Linked DNA regions of Arabidopsis thaliana. The protein of the gene in region 2 purifies or fractionates together with the protein of the main gene of each other region. This does not show direct contact. Each region holds a gene or a part of one and is shown on either strand. Other genes may lie near its edges.

Region 1 (4,872 bases), on a different chromosome or scaffold from region 2:
ATCAAACTTAAAAGTTAAAATAAGTACCTCTGGCTCAGTTTTCTTTGTGCCCAGCTGCGGCTGCACATCTGGCTTGTCAACAGGCTTTACACCTTCTGCAGCTTTTTTTGAATTAGAATTTGTTTCCACCTTAATGGCAGGTTTTGGTACCTACGTTTAGAATAAATGAAAAAGATCAGAAAACCATTTTCTCATCGCATGTAATACATCTGAAAAAAGTAGCATGTTATTATTGTTTCTCAGTCTAAGAAAATGGGTATGAAAAGATAATTCACCTCGAAGCTAAATTCTGGTAGCTTCACAGGTATTGGTGCAAATAATGTCGACAACTCTTCTTTATTCTGTAAAATAATACGCAGCATATATTCGTAAAGCAGACAATCACAAGGAAAGAAAAATGTGAAAGGTGATGTTCAGAGAGTGCATATCTAGCTATAGTCACTAACGCCGTTACGCGTACACATAAAGTAGTCCTCCATGGATTTACAGGCTACCTCGGCGCAATCAAGTAACAAAACTTTATGATGTCGAACTTACCTGGATGTAATTCACCCATCTTATGACATGTGGTACTTTCTCCTTGTCTGAATCTGAGAGGCCAAGCTGGGAACAGCAAGTCAAACAGATAACAGTTAGTATTTAATACCTTTAGTCATCAGTTTATGAAAATTTGATCGTAGCATCTTTATCAAGTAACATAAAATTACTTATACAGGAACGAAAAATAAGTAGACTACGGAATATAGAGAAGTGGTACCACTGAAGAATGCAGAGCTGAAAACACAGCAACATCAGCTGCCGATGGCGTCAATCCGTTTCCCAAGAGCACTGACTTGGTAGCTAACTCTAAATTCAACTTTTCAAGAGCTGAAAACCAATCCTTTGAATCTGAAGAGAAACCTTCCGCAAAATCTAGCCACTTCAAAACCTGAAATAGGTTTTTACTCTTTAAAATGTGAAACAATGACGCATTATGCAAACGAAAGCCAACGAATCCTCATCATTTAGCATTACACAGAACTCAAACATACTAATTCATTTTTTTTCTAACGTGGTAGCAACGAGAAGGGAACTCAATAAATTCCCAGTAAGAGTTTGGCGTTTATGTCTATAGGAACCAAATTCAAGAAGAAACGACTTACATCGTTGTTTTGTGCAGATACTTCCTTTCCAGATGCCTTCAATACATTAGAATAAAGTGTCTTGATATCACTTTCACCCGCTCCGCCCACAAAAGGTTCCTAAACAAATGAATCAAATCAATTTCAGAAACAGAACCAATAAATCATCACAATGTAAAATCATAAAAGCCAATTTCTAAAGTTTTTTCCTTTTTCATGACCAGCTTGATGCATAAGCGTAAACACTGATAAGTCCAAAACATAAACTTTCTAATTGATTTCAGTACCCAATCAGATAATGTTCGAGTTTTCTCCACTAACTAATTCAAAAAATGATCATACACATACTCAGCTACCAAGCAAAACCTCACAAAAAAGCAGAAGCTTTTGAGATGTCATCTTCTTCAATACTTACAGGATCCAAAGAGAAGTGTTTGCAGAGAGCTGAAAGAATCATCTGCTTCGCCTTTGAATCCATCGTCAACTTCTTCTCTTTCTCTATTTTCGAAATTTTGTTCTTCTCTTTGGGGCTCTTCGCTGTAAGAAAACACACTGCAATTTCTTCGATAGGGTTTTTGCTTGATGTAACTAACGGTCCTAACGGACTTCCAACTAACGGCGTTATCTCCATCTATAATGGGCCTAGATATATTAGCAGCCCATTAATATGTTCTTACTATGGGCTTTACCACCGAAAGCAATCATTAATAAAATAAAATAAATGAATTAACTTCTCAGATTCTTCAAAGACCTAGAGTGTCTTCGTCTTCGACGACGGCAAATTCGTGGAAGCTGTTTCATCGATTCCGGCTTCACTGAAGCGGCGTCGCTCGACGTTTATTATTCCGACGACTAGGCCTTTGAGGCAGTTTCTGATTAACTTCAGGCGATAATGGCAAACAGAACAGATCCGTTGGCAAAGAATATAAGAGGAACGAATCCGCAGAATCTGGTAGAGAAGATTGTGCGAACGAAGATTTATCAGCACACCTTTTGGAAGGAGCAGTGCTTTGGTCTCACGGCGGAGACATTGGTGGACAAAGCTATGGAGCTCGACCATCTAGGTGGTACCTTTGGTGGTAGCCGCAAGCCTACTCCGTTCCTTTGCCTCATATTGAAGATGCTTCAAATCCAGCCTGAGAAGGAAATTGTCGTGGAGTTCATAAAAAATGATGACTACAAGTAAGATTTCTAACCAAAAGCTTATTTCTGCGTAATCTAGATTGGATACTGCTATTAGCCTTGTCGTAGTTGTTTCTCAAGTATACAGGTATGGAATGTCTCTCAAATCTATTGGTCTTAGATAATCTACTCTCTTAGTTTCTGCAGATATTTGTTCTTGAATTACTGAAATATTTACTCTTTTGGTTTCTGCAGATATGTTCGTATTCTTGGTGCGTTCTATCTGCGTCTCACTGGGACTGATGTTGATGTCTATCGCTACCTCGAACCTCTCTACAATGACTACCGGAAAGTGAGACAAAAGTTATCTGATGGGAGTAAGTTTCATTTTCTTTCGATGGATCCGTTGTGTTTAACTTTTGATTGATTTGTTCACTAACTAGATTTATTTCTTTGGTTTGGAATAGAGTTTTCGCTGACACATGTGGACGAAGTCATTGAGGAACTTCTAACCAAGGATTATTCTTGTGATATTGCAATGCCACGTTTGAAGAAAAGGTTTCTTCTTTTGCATTTGTCTGAAGCTGAATAATTAGTTTTTGGTTTCTGCAGTATTTTAAGATGGTTAATTTTTCACTCTGATGATAGGTGGACGCTTGAACAGAATGGTTTATTAGAGCCAAGGAAAAGTGTTTTGGAAGACGACTTTGAAGAAGAGGAAGAAAAGGAGGAGAATGAAGGGATTGCTGATGGATCTGAAGATGAGATGGTCAGTGCTTTCATTCTGCAATAGTTTTTATGTGATCTGTTTTCTGTTTCTATCTAGCAGCTCTAAGATGATACCATCTTCCTCCTCTTTTACAGGATCAGCGCCGTAAGAGTCCTGAAAGAGAAAGAGAAAGAGACAGAGACAGGAGACGCGACAGTCATAGACACAGGTATCTGAATCCGTGACCTTTACTAGATACATTTCTATGCTAGTTAACATTTTTCAAAAAAAAATTCTTTGTGATTGTGGAAGCTGTTTGATCTAGCTAATGCTCTTGCATCATGTCTAGTACTCTGTCTTTTGAGTGTCTGTTTCCACTATGGCATCTCAAGCCATCAGCGGTTGGATACAGCTTCCGAAATTAAATTTGTAGAGATCCTTCCAGGTTTCTCTGTACTGACAGTGTTCAGAGAGAAGTATTATGGATCAGACATTATTACAATCCTTACCCTGATACAGTATATGGTAGTTGTCATTGTGTTACTTTGAAAAAGATCAGTTAATCATGAGAGCACTTCCCATCTAGTTTTTAGCTCAATCAATGTTTTCTTTTTGTTACAGATTTTCATTATGATTGATGTTGAGACTTGAGCTCATTGTTTCATGAATTATAATTTGACCATGGTTCTGTGATTGGCAGGGATCGTGATTATGACAGAGACTATGATATGGATCGAGATCATGACAGAGACTATGAAAGAGAACGTGGGCATGGTCGAGACCGGGATAGGGAGAGAGACAGGGATCACTATAGAGAGCGAGATAGGGACAGGGAAAGAGGCAGAGATAGAGAACGAGACAGAAGAGACAGGGCAAGGCGCAGAAGTAGAAGCAGGAGTAGGGATCGTAAGAGACATGAAACTGATGATGTGCGGGATCGGGAAGAACCTAAGAAAAAGAAAGAAAAGAAGGAGAAGATGAAGGAAGATGGAACCGATCATCCAAATCCTGAAATTGCAGAGATGAATAGACTGAGAGCATCACTGGGAATGAAACCCCTCAGGGACTGAACTGTGAAATGAGGACATCTTTATCAAACCGAAACTTGGTTCATTTGCCCAGCTAAACCGGTTACTACACTGTGATCCTACTCACTATAGTTTTGGTTTTTTTGAGTTTACCTGATCCCTCTTTAATGTAGAACAAAATGGAGAATCTGTAATGGCATTGTACTGTATGTTCTCTAAACCGTAAACGAATTGTGGTCGAGAAATTCTGAATGTAACCCGGTTCTTGATATTAGTTGTTTTTAAGGTAATTCAGATAAATATAAAAACCTATATGTTATGTCTACGTGGCGATATCACTTTATGAGTCCATGTAAATCGGACCCACCAAAAGCTTATAGGTAAATGATACGGTTTCATAATCATTAACCATCACGACGCGCGTGCTACTCATGTCCCACTTACGACGACGTCGTTTTAAACTCTCTCTCTGTGCTCTTCCAGTCTCTATCGATCGCCTTCTGAATTTTCCGGCGGAAAAGCAAATGTCCGTTAACGACAGTATCGATCCTCGGTTCGTATTCCACGTTGAAGATGAATCTTTGCGTTTCCGTGTGGGAGATTCAGGTACTAAGATCCGGGAGCTCGAAACCGTCGGCGATCGCCATTTCAGAACCCAGCAAGGTTTCTGCGGAAATAGAATTGAGAAAGATGAAACCATGTATTCCGATGGAGATGATGAAGAGTACGACGTTTCTATCCGAAGACGAACTGCTCTGATTCAGCCTGGTATTGATTCCGGTAACAATTATGATTCTGCTGCAGCTGAAGAAACCAACAGAGAAAGTAAAAATCCAGGTATAATAATACTCTACATTACTTCTTTCACGACTACCGGAGATTCCAAGATTGT
Region 2 (5,131 bases):
TGATCTAATAAAAAAAAATCATTGGGAGGGTTTTTATTAAGAGTAGATCAGAACCTGTCGAGATATCACAATAACATCACTCAAATGTTGTCAGTGGATTGACAGACTGTGAATTCTTTATCGTCACTTCGACCACACACCAAAAAATAGAACAAAAGAAAAGCTTAGAACTCTAAGGTTATGTTTGCCGTCAACGATGAATAACTTCATCTCTGGCACACGGTAGTTACATCACAGCAACTACTCAAGATTTTCGAACATAAGAATTCAAAACCACAAAAGAATATGATTAAACTATGAAACAGAGATTATAGGGAGACATATCGGACCACAGAGAGACGAAGGAAACACTTATCTGTTTCAAGCGGCGATGAAAAGACTATTTATATGCAACGACGGGCTTGATAAAACCCTAATTTGTTCCTTTTTTTTTGCAATAAAAATTGGTTAACCGAAGAAAGAACACTAAACCATAAAAATTAGTCACTTATTTCATAAAATGCCAAAACTATTTATTGCCAGAAATATGCAAGTTGGGGAAATTGTTAATTTAGAAATTCTCAATAAATCCTGAGAAATAATGTTTACACCATAATGTAATTATTTTCAATAAACCAAAATATTAAAATTTTATTGTCATTGATATCTCATAACTCTATTATGCTAAAAAGAAGAAAAGATAGAACTGTGACATACTTTAGGTGAGTAAGAGAAGCAAGACATGGTTAGACTAGAAACTGTCGAGAAGAAGTAGAACAAAAAAGAGGAACTTAGACCGATCCTAAACCGATTAACAAAAACCAACAAGTATCAAAGGAAAATACTACTAACGGAGCTATCATCATGGACACGCCAAATGGTCTCACCCAGAAGATTAGCCACCGATAATATCGTTAACTGCGGGAAGTAATTCTTCTCCGCTACTGGTAAAGTATTCGTCACTATCACTTCTTGCAGCAAACCGCTTGATAACCGCTCTATCGCAGGAGGACTGTGACATTGATTCATTCAAGAAAACGGTCTCTTAGTTTCATAAACGAAAATGGAGAAGAACTGGTAAAACTCAAGCTAATGGGTTTACCTGAAAACAGCGTGTGTACAGCAAGCGTAAACCTCACGTGCACCCTCCTCGTGTAAAAGAGCTGCTCCTTTCACAATGGTTCCTGTAAATAAGAAGATAAAAAACTGGTTCTTAGTAATGTATGGCCTGCAAATCACAGAATAATCTCTATTTAGTAATATCTCGATTATGGCCTAGAGTTTGGAAGCTTTTGTTTATAACAAACATATCAACGGAAAGAGGAGTTTCTGGCAATTTTTACTAACCAGCTGTATCAATAATATCATCCACCATTACTGCCACCTTCCCTTTAACATCACCGATTAGGTTCATGACCTGTGGGAAAGAGTATTATCAACACATGAGAACTTGCGTGTAGAAAGGATAAAATGAAGGTAAATTTAAATTTTTACCTCAGCGACATTGTGGCCGTGACGCCTTTTATCGACAATGGCAAGTGGTGCATCAGATAATTTCTTAGCAAATGCACGTGCCCTGGCTACTCCACCAACATCAGGAGAAACCACTACCAAATCCTCAGAGGAAATTGACTTGCTAGCAAGATAATCAAGTATCACAGGCTGAAATGTAATCACAATTGTGTAAGATTTTAAAGGTTGCATAAAAAGTAGAGGCTTGTCTATCAAAAAGGTTGAAACTTAAGATACCTGGCAATAGACATGATCCACTGGTATGTCAAAATAACCCATGGATTGTCCTGAATGAAGATCACAAGCCAGAACCCTATCTGCACCGGCTTCTGTTATAAGGTTTGCTACCAATTTGGCAGCAATAGATTCACGCCCTTGTGTCTGAAAACATCAATAGATACATCAGATGAAATTACTTGACATACTGTATCTACCATTGAAGAAGACAAAAAGAACCTACCTTTCTATCAGCTCTTGCGTATCCAAAATACGGAATCACAGCTGTGACTTTCTTAGCTGATGCTCTTCGGCAAGCATCCACCATGATCAATAGCTCCATGAGATTCTCATTAGTTGGAGTGCAAGTAGGCTGCACCAAAAAGACATCGCAACCTCTAACACTTTCTTTGAGCTGAACATAGATCTCTCCATCAGCAAATCTCTTTATGCTAACCTTCCCAAGCTCCAGACCCATATACCAAGCAATTTCCTTCACAAAATTCCAAGAGTTTAGCATATACTTCACCAGAAGAAAACTTGATTAAAAAAGACAACCAAAGGTCTCGAGAAAACTACCTGAGATAAAGCTGGATTAGCAGTACCAGAGAACAACTTGAGCTTAGTATTGTTTCTACTAACCGATTTCTCCAACCGTGAAGAATCAAAGAACTTAGGAATTGTCGTCTCATTAATAATTGGAACACGAGCGTTCCCGTTTAGTGCCTTAGGCAAATTGCATTTCTATCAAACACAATGACAAGGAATTGTGAAACCAAATTCAAAATGTTAGACACAAAATTTAACCAACACACGATCTCTCTTACATCTCTCTACAAACATAAGAATAACCAAACATTCATGAACAGTATTCAACACACAAGATTCCAAAGCTGAAAGTTCCAAATTCCAAATTCTACAGTCACATACATGGACAAAGTCAAGCCAAGAGCGACGACAACACACAAATTCTCACAAAATTAGCCTGTAAACGAACTGCTAATAGCATCTACTAAATCCAGAAAAATCTCACAGATCATCAAAGCATAGATTCATCCAAAAACAATTTGAATTTTCTTATAACAAATACATGAAACGCAATGTGAATATCGAATTCATTCATTAACATGAAGGAAAAAAAATGCTCAATGCTCACCGCGTAACCAGAAACGCAGATTCGAGAGCGAGACTCAGTGGTCCTGAAAGAAATCGAGGAACGGGAGAAGAGAGACGAAGACGACGAGGAGAGATACGAAGGAATCTTAACGGAGGGAGGAGAAGTCAGAGCCAACGACGCCATATGTAAATATATACGTCGGAAACACCTGGAATCTCTTGAGTCACGGCAAATATCAGACTCCTCTCAACGTTAAGAATTCCGATAGAGAAGAGAACTAATCGAAGGATATTAGGATTTAGGGTTCCAAATTTGGAGTGAGAAACGAAGGAGAAGGAGGAGAAGAAGAAGGTAATGGTGAATATGTTTGTTGTTGTTTCTTTCTTCTCCGGGAAGAAGAGTGACTCAAGCGGTGCGGCGATGGGTCTTCTCTCTTTCTCGAAATTTGGAATTTTCAATTGTAATTTTGTTACACTAAAAACATACAAAAATAAATATTGTTTAGAAACGGTGTCGTTTGGTTGATGGCTAAAATCGTCTCTGCTCGTAGCTTTCACAGCTTACGTGTCATGTAGGACTTAACATTGAAGGAGTCGAAAAGAGAAATTGTTTTCAAACACAAATTCTAAAGAATCTCATACTGATTCCTAATGCCCACTTGTTTCTAAGCATTTTTCATGCCACTTTAGGATTCCAATAACTAATTATGAACATAAATTTTCTAAAAAAAGAATATATTTTCAGCAAAAAAACTTTTTTTAAAAAAAAAACCATTTGTATTTTGGGTTCTTTCGGCTATACAAATAGATTGGGTCACATCATTAATATTGGCCATTGCAACAATTGAAAAGTGCAAATTTTGGAAAGAACAAGTCAAAAACTCAAAAGGTGAAGATGTGATTCTTCTCCTACATAAAAAAGGTTACAACTTACAAAAGACCTCTTCAAGGTACTTACAAAACATCATAGAGATTGCCTTAATACTTGTTTTGAGTTTAAAGAGATCCAAATTGAAAACATATGCAGCCATAAGGATTTGTTGCCATTTGTGTGAAACTGAAAAGGCAAACGGGTTATAATAATAAGAAGCCACAATGTCATATTTAACACATTAAAGATATAAGGAGATGTGATTAGCCATTGCCACGACCTCTTGCGTATCCGAGTCCATTAGACCATTTGCAATATCATTTTGCTCTAAATGATTACACGTGGTCAATTCATATTTCCATCTACCTAAATCCAAGCTCATAACGGATTACACTAAACAAAAAGACCAAAATGTCTCTAAGTTCATTGACCATTTTAGAACGTCATTCTTCGCTTGTCGAAGAATATGCAGTGAGAAGCAGAGCTAAATAAGATAAAAACTCAAAAGGGTTATAAGACATAAGAATACACAACGTCAAAAGAATAAAAACTTGAGCAACATAAGTTTCTAGGGAAAACTAGTTTCTTTAAGAAGAGAAAACACAAGTCTATAAGATTGGATCAAACACAGACCAACTTGACTAATGAAGAAGACTGAACTAAACTTCAGTCGAATGCAATCTGACATGTAGGTGAACGCCTGAACAACAATGACAACTCCTTGAGCATCTCAAATTTCTTGTTGATGTCAGTGGATTTAGAGGAGATAGTCACCTTCTTTAAACAGCTTCCACTTCTTAAGATGAATGCCGCTACTTCTTTCTCTTCTTCTGTTCCTTCATATTTTACCCATTCGAGAGTTTCAAGACTTGTCAACAGACATTCAGGAACTGCACTCGGTTCATTCCAGCACGGCCGCGGTTGATGAGATCGATAGACATGGTTCTAAGATAAAAGTAAGATATCATCACACTGTTATTCTACTGAAAATATATGCTGATATATCATAGAGACTGAATAATTCAGGTTTAGATCTGCAGACCTTAACAAGTTTGAGTTCTCGTAATTTAGGGGAATCTCTGAGTACACACATAAGTAGATTTAGCCACTCTGTCTCACATGTGCATATCGTTAAACGTACAAGACAGTGGAAGACACTACCAACAGGATAAGCATCCTGCATAAGAGACACTACATAAGTAATTTGATCACAAAGAAACCAATAATATATGTAGATAACAGAACTATAGAAACATATTACCTTAGAGGATGGTATACATACATAGAGACGCTTGACGGAAGAAATAGAACCCATGAGCTGCTGCGTATGTACATAAGAATTGCAAACATTTGCCTTCACAACCTTAGTCATATTATTCTCAATGACACAAAAACCACCCCTACCATCTTCAATGTCTAAGCACTCCAAAGAAGGAG
Region 3 (5,676 bases), on a different chromosome or scaffold from region 2:
TTATTAAAATAAACACTAAGAGTTTTTTTTAATATTAAAATAGGAATTGGAAAAACAAATAAAATAAGAAATATGGTATGTAATGAGAGTTTACTTCATCTATCCAATCAAAGAAGCTCCTTTATCAAGACTCTATTGTAAACCAAACAAGGAACAAAAGCTTAAGGAACTAATGATTTACGTCTGTCCTTTAGAATTAGCCATTTTATTTCTTTTATGACTTAAAGCTACATATATTATCTATTTATTCATTCATTCCCAGCATTATTGCTAACTACTATGTATTCTTGTAGACGATATACTAATTTTATTGACCTCATTAATTTGATTAAAATCTTGCCAGACAATAACCAAAGATAAACATGCATAGTCAACAAAGAGAAATACGATCATGAAAAAGATACTAACGCCTGTAAAAAATCTTTAAAATCAAAACAAAATCAAAGAGTATTTTATTTGGTGAATCTACAGACACGTTTAGTAGCAAAAAACTATTTGATTTTTTCAGAATATATTATTTTTCTTCAATTCTTTCCTCTTCCAGATATATATAAATCATGCAAGAAGAATATTGTACAACTACAAACTATAAATTGAAAAAAGAGTTCCAAAATTAATAATCTAGAGTCTGGAAGGCTAGAACAAAAATAAAGTTCGGGTGAAAAGGATTTAAATATGAATCCATCATTCAAAATGACGATTTCAGAAAATTTAAGTTTCATCTTAAAACACCTATTCCTCTAGATAAAATGCAATTCAACAAAAACAGTTATTAATCTTACACTCAAGAGATTTCTCAAAATCGGTTTCTCTCCCTCAGTCCTTACTCTTCTTTTTCTTCTCTTTCTTATCCTTCTTCTTGGCTGGTGTCTCCGTTGTTTCTTCTTCCTCATGCTTTCTCTTCTTCTTATTCTTCTTCTTCTCCTCCTTTGCAACCTCTACTACGGCTTCAGTTTCTGCTTCAGCTTTCTTCTTCTTCTTTTTCTCTGATGGCTCTTCCTCTTCGGGTTTCTCTTCTTCTACCTTCTTCTTCTTTTTCTTATCTTTCTTCTTTGATGGCTCCTCAGATTTAGCTGAGGTTTCCCCAAGAAGAGAATCTGCAGCAGTGTTGTAAGTCTGCACATAACAAAAAACAGTCAAGATCACTTCATCATAATCCCAAGAACAAAGACAATATGTACACACATCCAAAATTAGAAGAAAAGATGATGAATCAAAAACAGAGAGAATGATCGTGACCTTAGCAGGAGTGATAAGACCGCCTGATCCCATCTTTTTATCCTTGTTATAGACTTCAATCTTAGGTTTGCCTTTAGATGAACCAGACAGACGACCTAAATCTTTTCCTTCAAGATTTCTCAACCGCGCTTCAAGCTGTGAGTTTTTAACACATATCAGAAACATCATCAGTTAAGAAGGAGGAAAAAAGATTGTTCAGAGAGATACCAACAAGAGGAAAGCTATTGAAGAATTTTGTTACCTTAGCTCGGTTTTCAAGGCCCATAGTGTTATCTTGGCTATCACCAAGAGCATCAACCCTAATAGCAAGAACAGTTTTAGCAGCTAAAGACCGCGAGATCTTTCCCTTGTGCTTTGGTGCTGCTTGACCAACCAGAGATGCGTGAAAAATCAAACCGTACTTGGGTGTGGCGTGTTTTGTCTTAAGAGCTCTAAAGAGAGCTTTTTCGGCTCCGAGTATCTGAACCGTGCTCCCAGGTTGCTTGGAGAGGTTCAATAAACTACCTCCATGGGAAATAAGACGAGCACCAACAAGCTCTCCTACCAGGGCAGTCAGATTGGGAGCAATAGTGTTCATTCTGCTCTTTAGGTAATCGTAAAGCTGAGCTCTGTACTCAGAAAGAGAGAGAACCTGGTCACAGAGTTCACGGATGTGCAACAAGTCTAAGTCACTGACTTCTGTTCCCATGGATATCACAGCTGCGTCCTTAAGATCTGCCTCAATTTCATCTGCTAAGATCTACAATGAAACCAGAAACAGGAGAATATTAGGTCGTTAATCAAGGCGTTTGTTCATGGAAGCCTCTACACAGTTTACAAAATTGAAAGTTACCTCGGAGAAGTCTAGCTTAGCAGCATTAACTCGGTTTCCCATCAATTTAACAGATTTGGCATATAGGATATTGTCTGATATGATCTTAGCAAGCTCGGGAAAATGCCATCCATACCATTCTCTAACCCTCATGGCGTATGTGTTCAGCTCTTTGTCAAGATCATCAAGCAGACCAATAGCTTGGATAATCATGGTATCCACCTGACAAAAACTAAACAGTTAGGAGATGCAAGAGAAGCAAAAACAAACACAGGAAACGTTTAATGTCGGACAATCAAAGGCTAGTTCAATACAGAAGTTCCATAATTTAACACAAGTTAGCTTCGATCAATTAACAAATTCATATACTTCACATATCATATCACCAAATAAAAAGACCAATACAATTAGTCAGGAACCGAAGATACCTTGTCAGAACTAAACTTTAGCTTATATCTGGCGAGACTGTGAGACAGACCCAAGCTCATAGGAGCCAAGTCTTGATCACCCAACCCAGATATGAGTTCAGTAAACTGACTTCTAACACCACGTAGAAGCTCCATAACAGCATTGTTGTGAATGCAATCAATTTTCTGTATGAAATTAAGAACTTTCATTAGAAACAAAACACAGAGCAGACAGGAATATGGGTGTAATGATGGGAATTACAAACCAGTTTCTCCTTGATAACATTCCCAAGCTTTGAATCAGCCACAGCCAAGGTTTCACCTTGACAATTAGCTTTCAAAAACTTGCGCAGACCTTTGCTTGGAGCTCCCTCCAGCAATTTAGCCACAGCTTCGAGAGCTTCAGATGTATTGTCAAACTTCTCAAAAGCTTTTAGCTTAACCATCTGGTACACCAATAAAAACATATGAGAAACTCAACACTAAATCTAATTTTAGATGTTCTGAAACCACACTTGATGAAGAAGCAAAAAAATTACCTTTCGTGCTGAGTCTGGAGTGTCGAACTCTTTACACAAATCCTGCAAAAAAAAATAAAAAATAATCCATGAATACTTTTAGAGCCTTAAGGATAAGCAAAGAGAGTACAAAAGAATGAAGAGAACTCACCTCGACGTTAGCCATCTTTCCTTCATCTTTAACTTTAAAGAGGGCAAACCCCGCCGCTGTCTCGTATAGCACTAAGACCATCTTCACAAAACTCTTAAGCTGGACCTGAAGAGAAAATTAAGACAACACTTAACTCAGAACAGTAAAGATACGTGTCCGAGTCACACTAATTAAACTAAAAGTTCGTTTTGAGATTAAAAACTAGCGAGAAACAGCATTCCATATAAACCCTAATCCTACTTTTAGATCACATAAGAAATACAGGAGAAGAAAAAACAGAGAGATAAACTACAATAGCCTTAAAACTCTGTCCGAGTATGAGTATTCGAAACTCCACAATCTCCAGCAAGAATGGAAAAGTGAAACACCGTGAAGAGAGAAGATGAGAGATATTAAATACCTGAAGAGTTAATCAAAGCAGCTGCGTGAGAGAGAGGAAGAAGATGAAGACGGAGACGGACAATCACTTAGGGTTTTAAGAGTGTGTTGTTATAGCAGTTAAAGACGAGCCGAGCCTTCTTAAAACGCCGCGTATTGTAAGGGGTATTTCTATAACTTCCATAGTTAGGGTTTAGGTTTTAAGATTAATGGGCCTGACTGAATGGATATTTTAATCTGGCCCGTTTATAATATTAATACGTGGGCGTTTTATTGTTCTCTTCCCCCTTAATAGTTTTTCTTTTTTAATCCCTTTGTTTCTCTGTGGTATTCAACAAATTTGTCTCGAATTTATAGAGCTCGAAGCTTCAAGGTACGGTTTCAAATTTTCTCGTTGATTTTCTGGGTAGATAGCGTTTTCCATACTTCTCTTCAACTTTATTTCATAGTATAGCTCTGATTTTGCTAAAACTTCATCTGATTAGTTCCGTGGATCCTGAAAATCACGATTTTGCGTGTTGTTTAGGGTTATACTCTGTAGTTGTGTGATTAGTGTTTGAAGAAGCTGGGCTAGTGTTCGATGTTTACGTCGATAACCTAATTTTGCAGGAAGTTATAATGGCTAGTGAAGATGAATCGATTGAACAAAAAGCTGCTGCTCGTAAAGAGGCACTTAAAGCTCTAAGGGCAGCTCAGGAACTGTCTGAGACCAAGGAAGACGGAGAGGATGAAGCTGTCGAAGAAGAGTGAGTTTGCTTTGTTCTTTGCTTATTTTGTTTGTCTTGACTAGCACATGGAGTTGTTAATGTTGTGTGTTGGCTTTAGCATAACTAGGAGCTTCTCTTGTGCTTTGCTTCTCGCCTTTACTATCACTGTTTGTGAGAGAATCAATAATGGTGCTCTTGCAGCATCTGTTACCTAACAATTTTTTCCAATTTCAAGTTGCATTGTTGTGTATACTTTGCTTAGGTGGTTGGTTTTGTTGATTGATTATTCGAGGTAGATTCCCTTTTTATTCATATGAATTGTCTTTGATTTTACAGTGGTCCAGCCATGAAGTTTAGAAACTATGTTCCCCAAGCTAAGGAGCTTCAGGATGGTAAACTAGCGCCACCAGAGCTACCCAAATTCGAAGATCCGATCGTTGCACTTCCACCTGCTGTAGAGAAGAAAGAGGTGTGTGTGACAGTTTTTCTTTTCTCTGTACAAGGATCACCAAAAGCGACTCTGTTTAGCATTGTTGTTTCCTTTACTTGTGCCTCTTAAGCTTACAAAAAATGTTATCATTGTAGGACCCATTTGTTAACATCGCTCCAAAGAAGCCAAACTGGGACCTCCGAAGAGATGTGCAGAAGAAGCTTGATAAGCTCGAAAGGCGGACTCAAAAGGCAATGCATAAACTCATGGGTAAGTGGCAACTGTATCTACATACTGATATCTTCTATGTAAGCTTGATAATTAAGACATTAGTCTGTGGTTCGTGAGTAAGTGAGTAACATTTCACTGAATCTGTTGGTAGTATGATACCAAATCATAGAAGTCCAAAATAGAGTGATCTGTTGGTGTTTGTTTATTATGGAACTAACACATGCACTTTCATCATCTAATTGCAGAGGAGCAAGAGAAAGAACGTGAGATGGCTGAAGCTGATGGTAACACCATAGAAAGTTGAAACCCAACGACGTCATCAAAGAAAGCCACCACTGAACAGTATATTCTACTCGATTTTGTTTAACTGTTAAAGCATTCGAAGTGAGTAGACCATGTAAAATCCTACAGCCATTGGCATAGACATAGTAGGTTTATCTTCTTGTGTGAATCAAAGAAAGTCGCAATTTATTTCCGAGTAGAATTAAGTGCGGTCCGGTTTTTCTCTAAATTTGGTTCAACATCGGTGGTAATCTAGTTTGATCATTAATGGAACTGCGTTTTTTGGTTTGATTCGATTTACTGTGGTTTGATAAAGACATCCCAAACTAGAAACCAAAGTTTTGATTCGGGCTAGACGGGTTTAGTTTGGAGTCTGGGAAAACAACACAGAGAGCTTCTAAGACCTTTCTTCTCGGCATGTTGCTTCCACAGTGGGATGATGGAGTTTAGATACAATATTTGTTTATTAATACCGAACAATCAAAAATAGATACTAAGTTTTTTTGTTTTCCAAAGCTCAAA
Region 4 (4,833 bases), on a different chromosome or scaffold from region 2:
TCCAAATCTGAAGACATTGATGCTAAACCGCCTCTTTTACTTAAGTTCGGATGATGATGATCATGATGCCATAGCAATTGCAGAAAGCATGCCTAAACTACGCCATCTCCAGCTTTGTGGGAACAAACTAACCAAAACAGGCTTAAACGCCATTCTTGACGGTTGTCCTCACCTGGAACACCTCGATTTACGCCAATGTATCAACCTTGTCGGGAATCTAGAGAAGCGTTGTTTTGAGAAAATTAAAGATTTGAGACGCCACAATGATTCTACCTCTGCTGATTACCCGTTTTCTTTTGAAACTTACTATTTTCATTGGTCACGCCAATTGGCAATACTTAAAAATGCGCTACCGATGGAAGAAGGCGCCTATAACTTTGATCCAATAGTGGAAGAAGCCGAATATTACTTGAAACTGTATTGAGACTTATGTCAATAACACTTAGTCGGTTTGTTTGTGTTTAAAATTTTATTAACCAAAAAAAAATGAGTTCCTTTCAGAGCTAAGTGATACTTTTACGCCTTTTCTTGAGCATAATCATGTTCAAAACAAACTACTTCAACAATCAATTCAGCATGCAGAAACAAGTAGGATTAAAATGGACAGTAGTTCTTATAGCCAAGCAAAAACAAGCATAGAAAAGACTGATGGAGATACAATCATTGGACGAAAATGTTGCATCAATATATATTAGTTCTAAAACGAGGATAAAATTTTCCAAATGAGACATAAAAGCATTATCCATCTCTAGCTTAATACAACAAGCAAGGAGATAAAAACAAAACCCAGTAAATAAGTCTTAATACACAGGCACTACTGTCCACAGTTCCTCTATGAGGCTGGGGTCTTTTGTTTCTTCGGCATGCGGTAACCACCAACAACACAGGCATGGTCACGCTCAAACGGCTCGAGAGTCACCTGTTCTGCTGGCTTAAACTGCTCTTGTTGCAGCTTCTTCACCTCGCTCTGGAAGACTGCTTCTGCTGCAACTGTAGAGTCGATACAGTTGGCCTGAACAGATGAGACATGTTTATTTAGCGACGGAAATACAAATTGAATAATAACAGAGGAGAACATTGTTGAATTTGATTAAGGATAAGAGCACTGACCTTGATTGAGATAACAAAGTGTCCACCAGTTTTGAGGAAAAATGAGGCATTCAGGGCCAAGATTCTTGCCTTCAAGAGTTAGGCAAATAGATGGATTCAATTAAATAAAACATAAACAGAGAACCAAAATGAGAATAAAGAGAGACATTAACATAAACATAGAAACATTTATGGAATCATTGCAGATTTCTTGGAGCAATCTCTGCTAGCTCAGCAATATTGCTACAACAATTGAGTCTCCAAGTTTAGTAATAAAGTAAAACTTCTAAATGACTTGAAAATGCAATTGTTGAAAACCAGAAGAAACCGAAAAGACTTCTTCCAAATCGATAAGATATACCAAATGAAGACAAATAAAAACTTTGAGATTAAAACAGATTTGCATGTTCAAAGTAAAAAATTTTAGTAAAAAGATACAAAGTAGCATCAGAAGCTTGGAGTTTGCAACACCCATAAATGTTCTGAAGGGGAATCCAAGTAAAATCATCATCTGCCGATTTCATTGTACTGATTTTTTTAAAAGCAAAAGATGCAATGCAATAAAAAAAAACTTTGAAGATATAACTGTAAAATAAAAAGGCTTCAAACATTTCATAGTAAATGAAATGTCATCATATGCCGATTTCAATGAACTGATATTTTAAAAGCAAAAGATGCAATGCAATATGACGTAACCTTTGTGAATAAAACTGTAGAAAGGGTAACTTCAAACTTTCATAGTAAGAAATATAGAACCAAACCTGATCTGGCTGAGCAACATCAGAGAATATGACATCAACCATGCCCACGAGCATTCTGTACTTAGCCGGATGTCTAGCATCTTCAATGATTGGAATAACGTTAGTTCTCTTCTTGGCCATGTTCACCAAATCTCTACCACTTCTATGAGAAAACTCAACAGCATAAACACATCCCTCCTACAAATCATAAAGCAATAGAACAAAGATAAGTCTCAAACATAGGATAGAAATGGACCTACGGATAACTAAAATAATAATTTAGTGAAAGACTTACAGGGCCAACGAGGTCAGAAACATGAGAGACAGTGGTCCCAGAAGCAGCACCCAAGTAAAGAACTTTGGCACCAGGTTTCTACAAAAGTTTTAACAAAGAACCAATTCAAGCACATGTCTTTCAATACAAAAAAAGAAAACAGAGTCAATGTGGTATGTGTATAGATGGACTTACGATCCAAATGTTGTCGACACCACCAAGAATTGCAGCAGCTAACTTAGATCTAAACGGATTCCAAACTCTGTATTCAACCTTAGTTCCATCTTCATTCTGCAAAAGTGAAGTAGCTATAATATAAGAACAAAAACAAACTCAATTTAATTATAAAGAAAACAATCCTCAAACTTCATACCTGAACAGAGATTCTCTTCTCATTGTAAACAGCTTCACCAGGAACCAAATTCTTAGTGACAAGAGCATCTTCTTTACCCTTAGCAATAAACACTCCCGCATGTCTGTGAGGCTCAACAATCACTTTGCTTCCTCCTTTCATTCCTCCACGAGGTGGTCCTCCACGACCACGAGGCGCACCACGTCCTCTGCCGCGAGGCCCACTACGGCCTCTGTCACCACTACGGCCTCCTCCAAAGCTTCTTCCACCTCCAAAACCTCTTCCACCACCATCTCTTCCACCTCTGAATCCTCCACCACCACGTCCTCCTGATTATAACAATACCAACATACAGAAAATTAACTAAACGGAAGAACAGAGTGTTATTAAAAATCTCTACTTTTATCTTTGAACTTTATTGAAACAGTGAAGATACAAAAGGCTCATGAATTAAAACCCTAACTACCAATTCAAACTACAGAAACCGTAATGATACGAATTCAGATTTGATACGGACAGGGTTATACTCTAGAGGCAGACAGAACAAGAAAGACATAAACTTTAACTAAGGTTCTTACCTGTAACTGGGGGTCTCATATTTGCTTGTCTAAAAGTGAAGAACGAAAGACGAGAACCGAAAAAAAACGAGGGCAAAGGAGAGAGATGTGCGGTGGTGGCTGATTTTAGAGTCTCTGTGAGTTGGTTTATATATTAAGATTTTAGGGCTTTTAGGGTTTATGCTTTGGTAACATTTCTTGTATTTTATAAATAGGCCCTTCTATTATATATATCTTAACTACATTAGTCTACTACATTGGTAACGATGGGTCCAAACTCCAAAGTATGGAGTTGGGTTTGATCCGGATTGGGTCAAGATAATAATGGGCCGATTTTATTGGCCCAAAGTGGGTTTGTTTATGTCTCACGGAAAAGATAAGTTAGGGTTTTATTTTTGTGAGACAAGAAGAGTTAGTTATTCACTTATTCTCAATTTCTCATAGAGAAATTACGAATATATCTAAGGTTCTCGATCATCTAAAGTTTTTAGGGTTCGACTTGCTCCTCCTCGTCTCTGCTTACCTATATTTGAAATCTTTATCACAAACTCAGCTAGCTATTACATCACTAATGGCCGAACGTTGTCAAAGAATTGATGAAGAGGTTGTTGCTTCTAGAGACGAGATCAGTTCGTTGCCCGACGATTTGCTTATCCAGATTTTGTTGCTTGTACCGATCAAAGATGCAGTTGGGACAATGATATTGTCAAAACGATGGCGTTATGTCTGGACGTTGTTGCCTAAACTCGAGTACAGTGATCCTGGTGATGAATGCGAAAGCGTGTGGAAGTTTCTTGAAAAGTTATTGGAACTTCACAAGGCACCTTTTCTAGAAACTTTGTGCATCCAACTCGGTAAAAATTTTCTATTGAGGTAGATGTTGGGAAATTAGTTGCAAATGCAGTTGATCGCTTTGTGCGCAAGCTAGAGTTAGAGCTCCACTGGACGGCAGAGCCTACCAGCTTGCCTAAGAGTCTTTACACATGCAAAACACTTGTGGAATTGACTCTTTCGGACAAGATTATAGTGGATGTTCCTTCTTCGGTTTGCCTCCCGTCACTCAACATATTACGCCTTTTTTATGTGGTGTTCAAAGATGAAAATTCTCTAGAGAGGCTTATATCAAGTTGCTCAGTTCTTGCCCGATCGAAAGTGGGCCTCGCCATCAGTGATAACCGGGACTACCGTTTCGCGAAGGTGCATAAGCTTCGCCTTGAAAAGCCACATATCGACGTTGTATGTCATACTGATGACAAGTTTCTCAAAGCTATTTCCTTGGTCACGTATCTTGTGTTACCTTTGGAAGATCCAATGGTATCTATCCTTTTTATTATTATTGTTTTTTTTCTTCTTGGCTGTTAGGTTTGATCACATTGATTTATATTGGCTTTTGATTTAGTCATTGAAGGCTCTGGATTTTCGTGGCTTTACCTTCACTCGACTTGGAAAATTAGTGATATGTCCACATGGCCATCTCTGGTTGGATATAATTCCACTAATTCTCAACAACTCTCCTAAACTAAGATTTCTTGCTATCACTTCTGTAAGTAACAAGTAACAACGCAATCTCCTTGTTGTATAAACTGATTCTTTGATTCCACCTCATAGATTTTTATGTACTTGCATCCAGGTAAGTGGATATCGACCCGGAAATCTCCCATTGTCATGGTACCAACCAAGGTACTGTTCCCAGATGCTTGTCGGCTCATTTAGATGAGGAGTTTGTGTGGCATGGATATAGAGGAAACGAAGAAGAGACACAGCTCATAAGATACATTTTTGCTAATGCAAAGTGTTTAAAGAAAGTGACAGTCACATCTA

Evidence for each region.
Region 1: the proteins of PRS2 (region 2) and AT2G40650 fractionate together in Arabidopsis thaliana (co-fractionation; one large-scale study listed by BioGRID). This does not show direct contact.
Region 3: the proteins of PRS2 (region 2) and AT3G05060 fractionate together in Arabidopsis thaliana (co-fractionation; one large-scale study listed by BioGRID). This does not show direct contact.
Region 4: the proteins of PRS2 (region 2) and FIB1 fractionate together in Arabidopsis thaliana (co-fractionation; one large-scale study listed by BioGRID). This does not show direct contact.

Annotation. Positions count from the first base shown.
Region 1 is NC_003071.7:16,962,738-16,967,609, reverse strand, and holds AT2G40650 (PRP38 family protein), read left to right. Parts: upstream 1-1,811; 5' UTR 1,812-2,013; coding exon 2,014-2,303; intron 2,304-2,498; coding exon 2,499-2,620; intron 2,621-2,710; coding exon 2,711-2,801; intron 2,802-2,891; coding exon 2,892-3,012; intron 3,013-3,107; coding exon 3,108-3,181; intron 3,182-3,652; coding exon 3,653-4,022; 3' UTR 4,023-4,324; downstream 4,325-4,872. Other genes in the region: AT2G40660 (Nucleic acid-binding, OB-fold-like protein), read right to left, coding at 28-150, 276-341, 538-603, 758-928, 1,143-1,241, 1,537-1,599; AT2G40640 (RING/U-box superfamily protein), read left to right, coding at 4,412-4,817. UniProt on the Arabidopsis thaliana protein: Probably required for the first pre-mRNA cleavage reaction catalyzed by the spliceosome.
Region 2 is NC_003070.9:11,679,909-11,685,039, reverse strand, and holds PRS2 (phosphoribosyl pyrophosphate (PRPP) synthase 2), read right to left. Parts: upstream 3,307-5,131; 5' UTR 3,008-3,306; coding exon 2,864-3,007; exon of another isoform or gene 2,452-2,863; coding exon 2,287-2,451; intron 2,201-2,286; coding exon 1,952-2,200; intron 1,873-1,951; coding exon 1,729-1,872; intron 1,642-1,728; coding exon 1,474-1,641; intron 1,397-1,473; coding exon 1,327-1,396; intron 1,164-1,326; coding exon 1,082-1,163; intron 992-1,081; coding exon 811-991; 3' UTR 520-810; downstream 1-519. Other genes in the region: AT1G32375 (F-box/RNI-like/FBD-like domains-containing protein), read right to left, coding at 4,361-4,639, 4,737-4,871, 4,956-5,131.
Region 3 is NC_003074.8:1,412,358-1,418,033, forward strand, and holds AT3G05060 (NOP56-like pre RNA processing ribonucleoprotein), read right to left. Parts: upstream 3,700-5,676; 5' UTR 3,527-3,699; intron 3,232-3,526; 5' UTR 3,208-3,231; coding exon 3,127-3,207; intron 3,039-3,126; coding exon 2,997-3,038; intron 2,904-2,996; coding exon 2,724-2,903; intron 2,644-2,723; coding exon 2,479-2,643; intron 2,273-2,478; coding exon 2,072-2,272; intron 1,979-2,071; coding exon 1,481-1,978; intron 1,375-1,480; coding exon 1,240-1,374; intron 1,117-1,239; coding exon 817-1,116; 3' UTR 510-816; downstream 1-509. Other genes in the region: AT3G05070 (Cwf18 pre-mRNA splicing factor), read left to right, coding at 4,123-4,250, 4,548-4,680, 4,797-4,911, 5,118-5,176. UniProt on the Arabidopsis thaliana protein: Required for 60S ribosomal subunit biogenesis.
Region 4 is NC_003076.8:21,292,509-21,297,341, reverse strand, and holds FIB1 (fibrillarin 1), read right to left. Parts: upstream 3,196-4,833; 5' UTR 3,053-3,195; coding exon 3,034-3,052; intron 2,785-3,033; coding exon 2,477-2,784; intron 2,395-2,476; coding exon 2,299-2,394; intron 2,203-2,298; coding exon 2,125-2,202; intron 2,028-2,124; coding exon 1,851-2,027; intron 1,607-1,850; exon of another isoform or gene 1,533-1,606; intron 1,180-1,532; coding exon 1,111-1,179; intron 1,013-1,110; coding exon 833-1,012; 3' UTR 523-832; downstream 1-522. Other genes in the region: AT5G52480 (RNI-like superfamily protein), read left to right, coding at 1-424; EDA41 (FBD, F-box and Leucine Rich Repeat domains containing protein), read left to right, coding at 3,584-3,793, 3,886-4,326, 4,421-4,559, 4,648-4,833. UniProt on the Arabidopsis thaliana protein: S-adenosyl-L-methionine-dependent methyltransferase that has the ability to methylate both RNAs and proteins. Involved in pre-rRNA processing.